2 linked regions of the Caenorhabditis elegans genome follow. The protein of the gene in region 2 purifies or fractionates together with the protein of the main gene of each other region. This does not show direct contact. Each region holds a gene or a part of one and is shown on either strand. Other genes may lie near its edges.

Region 1 (4,611 bases), 510 kb from region 2:
TCGAACAATTTCATCTATTCGAACTCTTGGTAAGAAGATCAGATTACTCGGGGTTTGAAGGTGGAGCAGCGTGTGTGGAATTTTTTGCGTAATATTACAAAAACAGGCTCAATAAATACAATAAAAAAGAAGAGTAAAACATTTTTATGATTTTTTTAAATTTTTCAAAAGATAAAAAAGGCTGAAATGCTGTGGAATTCCCGCGTTTATTATCGCCGAAAAATGTATAAAAAATAATTTTTAAAAATTAAGAAAAAAGCAAATTCAAAAATAATTCATCCCTTTTGATTAATGGATATAGTCATGGAAATATTCGTCAAAAAATTAGAATTTTTTAAAAATTTTTACAGCTATATTCGGTATAGTGAGACCATTTTCTGTCATTTCGGGTATCCACTGACGCTACTCCGCATTCACAAAGTTTTTGAATGTTTTATTGAATTTATTACAAATTTGCACAAGTATTGAACTATTTCAGCACTCGGTGATACAAAGAACGCCTTGTCCGACCAATCAGATAAAATTTCACAAATAGTGTCGCTTTGGAAGAAGCTCTGCCAATCTGATGATCTACCAAAAAGAGAACTTCCGACAGCAATCCGATCTGCTGATCCGATTTCCGAAGTCCTTTGTCTGGAAACTATAAACGCTCTTTCTCTTATAAAACAACTTCATCGAAGCATTGGTCACGTGGCAAAATCGATGAAAACCCCTTCGTTGGCTTCTCCAGCCGTTCAGAAAACTATTCAATCACTTGTATTTCAACAGACACCTGATGAATGGGATAGCATGTGGGCGGGACCAAGTGATCCTGCAGATTATTTAAATGTTGTTGTTAAGAAGACACGTGGAACATTGCAGGTAACAGTTTTGAAAATAAAAAATAAAAAAACATGACTTTATTGCTGTCAACTTAAAGTTGGATTTTTCATTCTTTGGCAATATGATTTGTATTTCTTTTGTGGTATTTCAAATTTTAAAACAGTTTTGATTTTTTTAAAACTAAATCCCCATTCCCCATACTCCACATTTAAACAAACTTACAATTTACACAATAAATATACATTTCTTCAGCTGTTCGAATCGTCAAAATCATCTTCTCTGCTCTCATCCCCAATTGATTTTTCGGACTTGTTCTATCCAAACATCTTTTTAAATGCACTCCGTCAAACAACATCTCGTCAAATAAAAATTCCATTAGATCAACTGATCTTATCATCAGCATGGACTCCTTCTCAACTACCAGCTAAACAATGTGTTCAAGTTCAAGGGCTCTTGCTTCAAGGAGCAACGTTTGATTCATTTCTTCGTGAAACTACAGTATCCAGTGCTGCTTATTCTCAAGCTCCTATAGTTTTTCTTGCATGGACATCTGAAAGTTCTTCAACGATTACTGGAGAGCAGATTCAGGTACCAGTGTATAGTTCAAGTGAACGATCTGATTTGATATGCTCGGTTAATATGCCATGTCGTGGAGCCGATCAATGGAATATTGCAGCTGTTGCATTGTTTTTGAGATGATTTTAATTTTTTAACCGTGATAAAGTTTTAATAAATATTATTTGGAGATTGAGTGATTGTTTTATTAATTGATTAGAATATATTTCTAACTACAACAGTAATACAATACACCAAACTTGCGGCGCTTTGGAAATCGAGTCCCTGCCTTCTCCAGAAGTCAAGAGAATACAAATAATTATTTAGACGTAACCACGTAGAATTTGTAACATTGATAACGAAAATTTCAAAAATCCAGCATCATTATTTTTTTCAATAGAAGACAACAATGGAATGTGCAATTTTGTAAGTTTTGTGCTCAATCTCAGTTCTATGTGCAACTATGTGAACAAGTTATTTAAGCTTGCTCTACATATCAAATTTGTGGGGCGTTTTCTGGGCGAGAGGCGGGCGGACATCGTGCCCTCTGAAATAAATAGATCAATCTCAAGAATACTTTCCATTTTAGAGTATTATCTTGTATTCTATCAGTACGTCTCGCAGATGGATCTCCTGAAACCCAAATGGATTCATTGGCCGGTTATCAGAAAAGTGGAAAAGGTCCAACGGTGAGAAAATCGATGAATGTTAAAAATCAATTATTTAATACATCACAGGTAATCTTTATCAATCATTTTTACACATTACCAATGGAATCATATCCACACAAGATAAATGGACCGACAAAAGAAATTCCTCCAGATGAGCGCTTTTTGTTGGTTCGTTCCTTGTTATTTGGATGTTTAAAGCAATTTTATGATCATGAAGTGCCCAGTTTCAAATCTTCAAAATCCACAAAGTTTACTGAATCCAAAATTTTCAGCCCGACTACTTGACATACATGTATTGCATTTTTCTAACAATATTCTCAATTATCATTCTCCTCCATCTCCTTCGTCGTCGCCCAATTGATCATTTCACTGGATTAATGCATACACCATGGAATAAGGAAGAAGAATCGCAATTTGTCGAGATGAAAGATGCCTGGAAATCTGATTCCTCAAGACATTTCTTTTACAAGCATTGGACAAATCACGTGTCAACATCTCAGAAGCTTAGTGAAACATTCGAAAGAGATTTCGATCCAGTTCTTGAGGGAATGAGCGATAATGACTATGCAAAGGTAAGAACATAAATTAAATTAAATTTTCAATTTTATTTCATTTTTCAGAAAAAGAAATTGATTTTGGACATAATGCGATTAGTCAGAAGAAATGAACTCGTAGATGATGACAATTGATAGAACTTGTTAGAAATTACTTATTGGAATAAATAAAGTTTTCGTAACATTTAATGAATTTACCTAAATATGAAACCTGAGAACATTTATTTTTCAATACTGAGGGGCTTCCATAGCCATTGATTTTTTTGGGTGAATGAAAAGATTTAGCAAAACAATTTTCCAAGAAAACATTTAATTGTTTTTTAGATTATTTTAAAAGTTAAATTATTTTACCGAAATGGGCAAGTTTGTTGCTTTTATGAAGACTCCTGACTCCAAGGTTTTTCAATATAACGAAAAATAGTCATTACAGACTTTATTCGTAAAAAGCAAGAAAATAACATAAAGCATTGAAAAAAAAAGAGATTTTGAAGTTAGATTATTAGTTCTGGAAAATGAATTTATTATCGAGAACACCAGAAAGATTTTCCTTGTTTTCCTGCTTTTCCTCACTATTTACAGACTTCTCGACACATGAGGAGTCTTTCATTTCCAATTCCGATTGAAGAAGTGCCATTTCGAATTCCATCTTTTCAATTACTTTTTTCATCGAACCAATTTTCCGTTTATACTTCTCAATACTTTCTTTTTGTCGATCATCATTCTCTTCCATATATTTGACCATGTCTTGTTGATCCAATGCATAATCACGAAGCTTTTCATACTTTTCACTCCATTTTTGTTCAATAGCATCTTTCCATTCTTCTAATGGATATTCTTCTGGAGCTTCAACCTTTTTTCTCATTTCAATCATCAATTGATCGTTGATCTCCATCAACACTTTTACCATTGGATGGTCATGAATTGAATCTTGAGATTCTGTTGATCCTTCCTTTTCGACTTCCTGAATAGTCTTCATCTTCCGATTCTCACATCGACGCATTTGAACTTGTCTCTCCAAATCTTGAATTTGAAGTCTCATGGTGTTCTTCTCCACTTCATTACAAATGTTTGTCAGGTACCTCTCGTCCATCAACTCTTGAACTTTTCGAATTTGACGATTACATCCTGGGCAGTACATTTGATTCGAGCTTTGTGGTGGATTATAGCGTTGCATACTTCTTTTTAGTGTTGAGTTTCTGAAATAAATAAAAAATATAAAAATTAATGTGTTCCAAAAAAAATAAAAAATAAGGAAAACAAGAACAAAGATGGGTAATGTTTGATTGAGCACAGTAGCAGTCGATATATCGGAGACGAGCGTTTTCGTGTCGAGACCCAAAGCTGCAATCGATAATGTAGTGCTGTAACTAGCAAAAAGAATGGCATAGGAAAGGAGAACATCTGCTCCGATGACATCATTTCTCTCTTGCTATGAGATCGATATTATCTGGTTCCTCTCGCACCTGTTTATGACATTTACAAAGAAGTACCAATTTGGTAGATCAAAAAAGATTTCGAGAATGTTGGGACTGGAACAAAATTTTTTATAATATTAAGATTTTTAGTCGCCGACAATGGTTGCCCATTCCAACGTGCTATTCGATTTATGTTGGAGCAATCGACGGGCGAATTCGTGGTAGTACAGATTATATGCTTCATTTATCAAAGTTGTCTATGATTTATTGGATTGAAAGCAAAAGTTGGAGATTAGCTCAAAGTGAAAACTGCAGAATCAAATTGAACTCCGGCGAAATGCATGAAATATTAACTCTCAATTCAGTATTGCGGAAAACTGGTTGGAATCAGGAGTTGACAGATCTTTGAGACAAGAAAATGTGAGGGAATTTTCGCGTCTCCCGGTCATGTCCAGATTACAACAGTTTTCCGGGATGCTGAATTGATATGGAATCAGATAGAGCCGTCTTTATTTTTACTTCGTTTCTACTCGCTTTAGTTTTCAAAATGTTTCAGGTCAAGATCAATGGGACGAAGACGACTGAAGTAGGACG
Region 2 (9,563 bases):
TTCCTCCAAAAACTGTAAAAATACCTTTCTGACAATAATTGCATCCGGAACATTATCAATGTTCATGGCATCGAAAGTTGCATTATTCACATTGCAGTTCTTCATGTCGAATGCTGAATTTTAAAAATGTTTTTCCAAAAAAATTCTAATCAGAAACTTTAGAAGTAAGTAAATAAAGTTATACACAATAATTGAAACTAACCCATAACCAAGTCTCCAGGTGATAACAAGTGTCCAATGTGAGTTCTAGCTGATAGAGATTGAGCATCAGACATTCCAACTTGATCACTTCTCACCAACCATACATCTGCCAATTCGTGTTTCTTACTCACATATCCGTGGCCTGCCTTTCTCTCAAAGTTATTTACAGGTTCCACATCGAGAACGTAGAATTCTGTCAATTGTTTTGGTCCGCAAAGAGAATCGAAAGGCTCTCTCCAGAAATTAGTTCTGTAATATGCCAATTTTCATTTCTTTTCTAGATATTTGTACTTACGCTTGAACATCAACCAACTGCAAATTGTTGGGGTCGATGAGAGTGATGACATTCGAGACACGAAGACAAAGAACGATTTGTGACATATTTCCGTATTGTTGAGCCTGTTTCTTTGGGAGACAAACGATATTGTCTCTGCAGATTGGTACGATTTCAACGCAGAAAGTGTGTTTGTAATCGTATGTGTTGTTTTTGGTATCGTGAGAGACAAGTTCCTGAAATAAGAAAATGTCATAACTGATGGTGAATATAATATGGTGTTTTGCGAACTGACTCGTAAGAATTCAGAGAATAATTTGAAAAAGGGGTGCGCGGCAATTCTACAAAATGATACAGTTTGACATGTTTTTCTAATATGTTTCATCAAAATGTAATGGTAAAATACATAAAAAATAATTGCTTTGCCGGAAAAAATCAGATAAATTATCAACAAAAAAAACAATTCGGGTAGTTTTCAACGTTCAGTAATTTTTTGAGCACTTTCAGTTGTTAATAAAAAGTTATTTTCAGATAAATCAAAACATTTTTTTTACATTTTACTGAAAAATATTGGGAGAGCATGCCCCTCTGGCTCATTTCGTAAAAATGCCGGTCGGCAATTGCTATGCACCCCTGATTTGTAGGCAAACTGATGTCAATTATTTCAGCATCATCGACTTTCACAAACCTGCGCGTAGTGATATTTGCATGGAAGTACAGTCATCAAAAAGTCGACAAATTTTCTCGCTTCTTGTTGTTTCGCAAAGTAAAAATCAATTCCAGTCGGAACAGGCTTGACTCCAGTACATTCTTTGTGAGCGGAGTGTTTGAGGAGAAGTTGTTCCAAATAGAAAAGAGTCTTCTTGAACTCTGCACGTTGACGAACTTGCACACAAGCACGCCAGAAATCTTTGGCTTCAGCACGACGACAATCATCGCACAATTGACTGTGAACGGTAAACTCAACGACGACAGCTTGTTGTAGGATTGTATTAGTGAATACTTCCTTTTGAATTGTGATTTTCACTTTGATACGCTTGGAGTGAGCTTCTGTCCATACAAAGCACGCATCGGTCAGACGAACCTAAATTTTGGATTTTATTGAAAACTGAAGTGATTCCGTGAATGATTTACTTTCGTTAGCATTGGCTTCAACTTTTTCAAGCAAATCGAAAGAAGTTCTTTGGATTCCAGTTCTGCTCTCATCCATGCACTTGGTGGAACAAAGTAACGATCACAAAATTTGCACATGTAAATTGTGCCTGAAATTTGAAAAATTATTATTTCAACAATTTTAGAAAACTCACATTGCCGAGTGATTCCCTCGGTAATATCTACCCTCGAGCGAAGGCATCCACTGCACATATTCGCTGGATTTGGTTCAATCGCAACACCGCATTCGCAGCAAGCGATTAGACCAACTGTCGGTTTTATGTCCAGGGATTGCATTTTGACTGAAAAAAAATATATAATTACTGCAAAATCAAAGCGATCTGCTTGCAAATTCTTCAAAACTACGAATATTGAGGATATCAAAACATTTTTTTAGGAAGAATGGAGAAAAATTGCGAAAGAAGAATGACCCTGCAAACGTGCTCGCCCGAACTTTTCAAGTAAGACATTTGAGCGGATAATTCAAATAAAATATCCAAGCAGGAACAATATAATCCCTTAAAGTTTCTCATTTAAAAAGAGGGTGAAAAGTTTCCTCTTCTTTATTTTAGTTACAAATTCATTCAACAGAAGTTAATAAAGGCGAGAGATGAGGTAAGAGCATGCAATAATAATAATACTAATTGGTATGCAATAAATAAAAAATAAAAATCAATTTTAGCACTATTCAGTTGTGGAAAGTGCACTTCTTTGCATTCGCTTTGCGAGACGAGCCTTTTGAAGTTTGTAGAGAACATTGCCGGTATCGGATTCCTCTCCGCGATGCCTTGTATAGCCGTCGGCAGCGTGTCCAGTACTGACACCGAGAGAATTAATCATTAGACGAGCTGAAAATTATATCTTTAGTTTTTGCGAAAATTTAAAATCATTTAATGACAATTATTCATCAATAATTTTGAGTTGTTTCGTCTTTAAACTTAGTTTTAAAAAGAAAATACCATTATTCATAATCCTCTCATCATCATTCTTTGTATTTATCACTGGTGAAACTCCGTATTCGTACAAATTTTTCACTTCTTGGAAAGCTCCTATCATAGTGTTAAGTCGATGGAGAAGCATTCCGAGAGTTTGAACAAAAAGAATAATTAGAAGGAAAACAACAATTCCCATTCCAAGTGGATCTATTTTTAATGGTTCATCGGTTTCCTCGTATTGTCCAGTCATCTCATTCATTTTCGTCCATCGGAAGTTTTCTAGAAAAAAAAAACAAATTTTTTGAATTGACCATAAAGGTAATATTGCTTACTGATTGGCGAGAACTTGATGCTGAGCACATTTTTGTGTTTCTGAATCAAAAAGATGGCAAGAGCAAGAAGAGAATTAACGAGAAGAATAGTGAAAGCAATCTGATTTCGTAGAGAAGCCAATCCTTCGGCGACGGCTTTCATTTCAGCTGGCGTCGTCTTGATCGGTTTCAGATATGCATTGATGAGCTCGTTCCAGAAAACCTTTTCCGCACTTTTCAGTTTTCCTCGTTCACAAACTTTCAAGCTATGACTTGTCATCCACACATAACGGTTTGCCTTCTGAATCTCTTTTTGAGTCTTCTCTACGTTCTCTTCAATCGGAAAATCTGCAGTTTGAGTTTCTTCTTCACGTTTCTCCTTCTCCTCTGTTGCATCGAGAATTTTCTTCACGTCGGCACCACTCTGAAAATAAATTATTAATTTCACATTTCTAAAGTTAAAGATAACCTCAATACTTCTCAAGGCTAGCTCCATTCTCTGCATTTTCTTTTCCATTTTCTCTCGTCTCTCTTCATGTTCCTTCTTCTCCCGACAACTGATTAATCTGAATCCCTTTTTCACAATATCAATCACTCTGTCTATAAATTGTTCCATAGGCGCTTTTTTCGTCTTTTGTCCCGTTGCCTTAGCGACAGCTTCACGAGTTCCCCACGTGATAACGTTGAGATTGATGAGCGAATATAAAGTGAGGAACACATATGTAGATGGAATCATGAGGAAGAATACGACACCATGGATAATATTCGTGAATTCTTTTGGATGAAGACATGCAGCAAAGAAGAAGATTCCGACCATTGTGACAATGAAGAGAGATGTAGGAGCGAGAACAGCTGAAAATTGTCGTAATCAGGATGAAGGGATAATGTAAAAACGCACTCTCGAGAACAATTTGACTGCTGGTAGCGACTAACACAGCCAACATTACGAACGCGTACGCAATCGACATGTACTTGGCATAGATAAGTTGAATATTCGACTCTGTTGTGAAACAAAGAACAATGAAAAATCCTATCGGAATTCCATTATAGAGCATCACATCAGATCCTCGAAGTTCAAAAGCAGCAACTTGGGCGAATACGAGCATAGTGAATATAATGGCAGGTCCGAGCATTGAGAAGAAGATCACAAGGAATTGATAGGCGATGTAGGCATATGAAATGGCGTCATTATTTTCTGAAGCTCTCTTGTAATCCATCAGAAGATCTACTGTATTAGCAATCGACGAAGGAGTCCAGCGTCTACGTTGATTGAAAAATTCTTCGAATCCTTCCGGAGCGTATGTTTCAGCATCAGACGCAGCGGCGTATTCGATACGATATCCTTGTTTCAAAAGCAATGTACTTAACCATCTGTCTTCTCCTTGATCATATTGGACGTAGTGACGTGGTTCGGAAGCGGTCTTAGTATACTTGTGCATGATATTGTCATCCATCAATGCAGATGCACGGAACAATGAGAAACATCCAGGCGCACAAAGGACACAACCGAAAACATGTTCAGCAGCCTTTTGAAACCAATGAGCAATAGCGTACTCAAACTTCTGATACCAAACCATTATACCATTTCCAATTGGGTGAATTCTTCCACAAGCACATCCAATATCACTTTTCGCATTCATCAAGTGGAGAAGACGAAGAAGTGCGTCAGGTTCGAACTTAGAATCTCCATCAATAGCCAGAATAAACGTGTTGTCAGCCATCTGTTGTCTATCTTCAATAGAAAGTGGGCAATCCATGATACGATGACCAAGAAGGTAATACATGTACATAACTTGGCTCCATCGCTTTTTGTGTCGAATCATCTTTTTATCCTTCAAATGTACGAAGAGTAAAGTTCCTGATGGAAGTTTTACAACAAGACGACCACCGTAAGGTGTATTGACGAGAATTCTTGTTTCCATCTTTCCTTCTTCATTTAATCTTTCACCAGTCATTTCATTGAGCAAGTCAAAGAACATGTTGAAGTATTCATTTGGCTGCCTTTTCTCTATTCCATCTTCTTCGACATCTTCCCATGCGTCATCGAAGAAAATGTGACCTTCCAATCGGTATCGAAGTTCATTAGCTTTCTTGTTGTTCATACGTGTCGCATGATCCACATCAAGCTTCAGAATACTACGAAGTACTTGTCGCATCTCGGTTTCTGTTTCATGCCACATGGTTGCACATCCATAAACCGTAGACACTCTGTCAACTTCATCGTTTCGAATTCGTAGCTCATCATTCTCATCCGATATGTCTTCTTCTTCGGTAAGCATAGTTTTTTCTTGCCGATTCAGTGAATGTTGGAATACCACAAGAGATTGCTCGATGCAGAGGCCATTACAGACAGGAGGCATTGAAGAGATGCTAGAAACATAATTATTGAAATATGAAAACAAAATTGCCTCAACTTACATTTCTTCGTTCGTATCAAAGTATCGTTGTCTAACCAATCTCCATCCTCTATAGCATCCTACCAACAACCAAATAAGGCAAATGTAAAAGTCCGGAGATGCGATTCCTCGTGCGCTTTGGAACCATTGATCACACACCCAATGAAGACCAAATCTAGCCAATCGTCGAGCTATTGAACATGTGGGTGATTGGCAAGCATAACGGACGTATCCATAAGCGATGAGAGGAGCAATGGAGAGTGGGTGCACGAAAGAGAACGGATGCAGATCAAGAGCAGCCAAGAAGCGTGAAATCCCTCGCATGACAAAATGGAGAACAATGATTCCGGTGGCTAGTAGAAGAAGCCTCCTGTAATTAGGGAATTAGTATAAATGCTTCAGTTTTTGATATCCTCACGTGTGGGGTTGCCGTGTACTGAAACTAAAGAATGCCTTGACAAAATGAGATGAATTAAGCTTCTTGTGATCGTTAATATAGACAGCAGATACCTGTAAGTACAATTTTTCTTCCAGAAAAAATCAATTATGCTCACCAGAACTGAAACTGTACAAACGATGCGCATGAGGGAAACAATAAGTTTCGTGGTGGTGTTCATCTTCCGTACAGCATATTTGAGCCTGTATAACTCATCAAATGAAGTACCAGAATGCGTTGTGTCAATCCAAGATTCCCAAAAGCCAGCTGAAGTGCAAATTACTCCAATCGGAAGTGCAATTATAGCTGTGAACTTGTTATCAAATAGCGCCCAAACATAACAGCTACTCATGAGAACCAAGAACATAATGACATGTGGAATTGCAACGAAGCATCGGCCGAGACGATTTCGGAATGATCTTCCTGTTCTAGCAGCAGAAACCATTGCTACCAAAGATCTTTGCAACACAGCCACAAGTGGGAAGCATGCGCTGAGAACAAGGCATCTGGCGAGATCCAATTGAGGGAAAACGTGGAAGCTCAGAACGGCGAGTCCGATTGCTCGAAGAGATTCCAGAACAACCACTGACTTGACGAGTTGACCACATTGTCCTTTCCACATATCTATGCCAGAACGTATCAGATTGATAGTATCAGGGAAACACTGAATCAATAGTAGCGACAGATATATTCCCGCAGTTGTTGTAGATGTACGTCGAACTGAAAAAAAAATAATTACGACGTTTTGAGGAAATGAATCTTACCGGCGGCTTTCGTGCATTTCCTGGCGAATTTCCCAATGAGATGAGCTCGAGGGACGATGTTAGTAGCCATGATCAATACGATGAGTTTCGAAAAAACTGATCCAAGTGTTAATACTATATTACAAAGTGCGAAAAGAAGTAGCTGAAAATAATTTTTTAAAGTCATTTTTAGAAATTATCGTTTTATTACCTTTGTCGCCTGTAAAACTGTGACCATCCATGGCGAAAGGGTCGGTCCATCAGTGGCAGATCTTTTGTGCGATCGAAACGCATTCCAATAGTTTTCCCCATCGTTCATCCTGGTAACGAACGAAGAGGAAATGGCGAAAAACGGGTGATCACACCCAGACTCGAGGTGAATTCGCGCTTGCTGTTTCGTTGATTGATAAACGTAGTTTGAACCAGAGCTGAAATCCAAATAAAAAGGTCAAATCGACTGAAAATGTTCTCGAAATGGGACTGTTTACAAAAGAAAAATTTCGCGCGAAAAAAGTGAATTTCGAAGCAACCTCCAGCTTTCGCTGCAAGACCCACTCGTAACCCTACATGTCTCTTGAAGTAGTACGGTAGTCATTTTTTATAAAAACAGGTCTACTCAGTCTTCATAAGCGTTAAATCATTGGAGAAGGGATTCATTTTTTCCTGAATGTCATTTAGCTTTTAATTCTCAAAAATGTTTTTTAAGCTAATTCACTTTTTGTTTATTATTGCTAATAAAATTTGAGAGAAGTAATACGTGTAGAAAGAGAGATCAATACGCTTTATTCAGCGAAGGTAATAATTTTAGATTCAATAAAACAAGATAAAAACGGAAAAAATTAATATTCTTCTTCATCTTCATCGTTAAACGATAAGAGACCTTTTTGAACTTTTGGCAAGGGAGCATTCTTCTTCTTCTTCTTTTCTTCTTCGTCAGCTGCAGCACTATCTCCTGCTCGTTTTGTTGGTTTCTTGAAAGTGATTTTCCCTTCGGCAATCAATTTGTCACCTTCTTCCTTTTTCTTTTCTTCCAGCTCTTTTTCAAGCTCTTCTTTCGTCAAATCAGTCTTTTCGTTTAACACAACCACCTGTGGTCTATCTTCTTCCTTCATCCGCATTAAATCAGTTTCATCGTCGTCAAAATCGGCTGGGCCGGCCTCATCTTCGTACTGAAATTAAAAATAAAAAGAAAAGTTGGACGATTCTTATCAAATTTCCCGTTTACAGAGGAAATCAGAATTTAACCTTGTCCTCGAGCTTAGCTGGTTCCTTGTATCCCAATTTTGCTTTCATTGCTTTAATAAAAGCGGGCTCTTCTTGTTCGACGAAATGAAGATTTGCCTGAAAATGTCTTTTCAGAAATTGATTATATTCATATGAATGAACAAATGAACCATTTATATTTTCAATTGTTACCTTGTCTTTGTAAGACATTGAAGATGATTGTCCTCGCTTTGACATGTTCCGTAGCTGAAAAATGTACATATTCCTAATTTTTATCTAATTTTTTCGTAAGATATTTGGTTTAAAAATCAAAAAATATTTCTTATTTAAAAAATAATGATGTCGGCAAGTTGGCGTCAAATGCGGTGTTTCACCGTACACCATTGCAATGCAGCTTGAATGCGTATTGCGCGATATATTTGACGCGCAAAACATCCCGTAGCAAAAACTACAGTAATTCTGTGAATGACTACTGTAGCACTGGTGTCGATTTACGGAAATATTTTATTGGTCGATAAAATATTGGAACAAAACACAGAAAAAATGACAAAGCGGAACGAGAAAACTAAAGAAAATTTGGTATGTCGAAAATTCTAACATTAACTCGTTTTGAAAATCGAGTCCGTAAATCGACAACAGAGTCACAGTAGTCGTTTAAAGAATTATTGTAGTTCTCGCTATGAGATATTTTGCGCGTCAAATATGCTGTGCATTAAGCATTCTCAGAATTTCGTGGTCTCGTAATAAAAGTTGGCTTGCAATTTGCGAACATTGAATAAGATAAATCCTTCCTAATTAATTATTTACATAATTTCTCTGTAAAATTTCTTAATTTTCCCATAAAATGTTATTTAGGTATGGTTCTGTAGTAAGATTTGACTGTTATTCCATTCACCAACATGTGACACCCGACTTTTTTCTTTCCTGTAAAGTCAGAAAATGTTTATCTATTCGGCTCACAATTGCGTTTTCCTCCTCTCCTCCCGTCTCATGATATATTTTGACTCTAATTCTTCAACGTATTGCTCCCTTGTTTGTATTGGTTGAAAAAAAAACAAAAGTAGAAAATATGTAACATTAGAGAAGCAGAGAAAATAAAATGAAATTCGAGCGGAGTCTTCATGAATATTCGATGCCTTCGTCATGTTTGAAGATGATCCAAATAATTTTTGAGACAGTTTATCTTTCTTTGCGCTGTTCTTTGAAACATTAGAACATTTTTATCAGTTGTTTTTAATTGAAGTATGAAATCAAGAAATCATCATATGCCCTAAAAGTCACATAAACTTTTCCATGACAGCAGTAATTTTGGCAATGTTTCAATCAATTTCAAACAAGAGGAATTAAGTTATCGTCATTAAAACATAAAAGTTGATTTGCTGAGTTTCCAAGTTCAATCGGTTTGCATTTTTATCCATAAGTCATGTGATCTTGATCAGTTCCGTATTTCTTATCCCTCGCTCGTCGGAAATCTCTCACACTTTTGTCAATTATTATTCTGGGCCCGAGTCAATTTTTCAGTGTCTCTTCCGCAACAAGTCAACACTTTTTCTCGTTCTCTCTCTCGTTTTCCCTCCTTCTTCTCGACCACGTTACGAATTGTTCGTGCCCCGGGACGTTCCGAAATGACGACTGCTTGCATGAATTAGGGTGTATGTAGAGTTTCTAGTCAATCTGTTCAAAACCCTTTAGTCTTCAATAAAACTGATCTCATCATCTTTTCTTTTTTTTGTGAATCCGGATCGTATCAAAAGTAAATCATCCATAATTTTATTTATCTCCATTCTGCGTTGAAAGAGATTTTGGCTACAGTATGGTTGTCCATTTGTCATTAATGTTCCATTTTACATAGTTTACACTTACACGTAAGGGTTGAGTAGCACCAGTCTAA

Evidence for each region.
Region 1: the proteins of chs-1 (region 2) and F18C12.4 fractionate together in Caenorhabditis elegans (co-fractionation; one large-scale study listed by BioGRID). This does not show direct contact.

Annotation. Positions count from the first base shown.
Region 1 is NC_003279.8:8,058,969-8,063,579, reverse strand, and holds F18C12.4 (Small integral membrane protein 29), read left to right. Parts: upstream 1-1,612; 5' UTR 1,613-1,786; coding exon 1,787-1,803; intron 1,804-1,966; coding exon 1,967-2,066; intron 2,067-2,114; coding exon 2,115-2,216; intron 2,217-2,320; coding exon 2,321-2,620; intron 2,621-2,668; coding exon 2,669-2,737; 3' UTR 2,738-2,791; downstream 2,792-4,611. Other genes in the region: che-3 (Cytoplasmic dynein 2 heavy chain 1), read left to right, coding at 1-29, 479-861, 1,075-1,521; K04G2.10 (uncharacterized protein), read right to left, coding at 3,102-3,776.
Region 2 is NC_003279.8:7,552,205-7,561,767, reverse strand, and holds chs-1 (Chitin synthase chs-1), read right to left. Parts: upstream 6,914-9,563; 5' UTR 6,768-6,913; coding exon 6,660-6,767; intron 6,612-6,659; coding exon 6,470-6,611; intron 6,426-6,469; coding exon 5,824-6,425; intron 5,780-5,823; coding exon 5,688-5,779; intron 5,640-5,687; coding exon 5,292-5,639; intron 5,244-5,291; coding exon 3,772-5,243; intron 3,726-3,771; coding exon 3,343-3,725; intron 3,298-3,342; coding exon 2,895-3,297; intron 2,842-2,894; coding exon 2,587-2,841; intron 2,476-2,586; coding exon 2,312-2,475; 3' UTR 2,139-2,311; downstream 1-2,138. Other genes in the region: T25G3.3 (60S ribosomal export protein NMD3), read right to left, coding at 25-113, 203-450, 497-711, 1,164-1,559, 1,610-1,737, 1,783-1,924; T25G3.1 (DUF4604 domain-containing protein), read right to left, coding at 7,288-7,617, 7,694-7,789, 7,865-7,909. UniProt on the Caenorhabditis elegans protein: Essential for the embryonic synthesis of chitin, a component of the eggshell.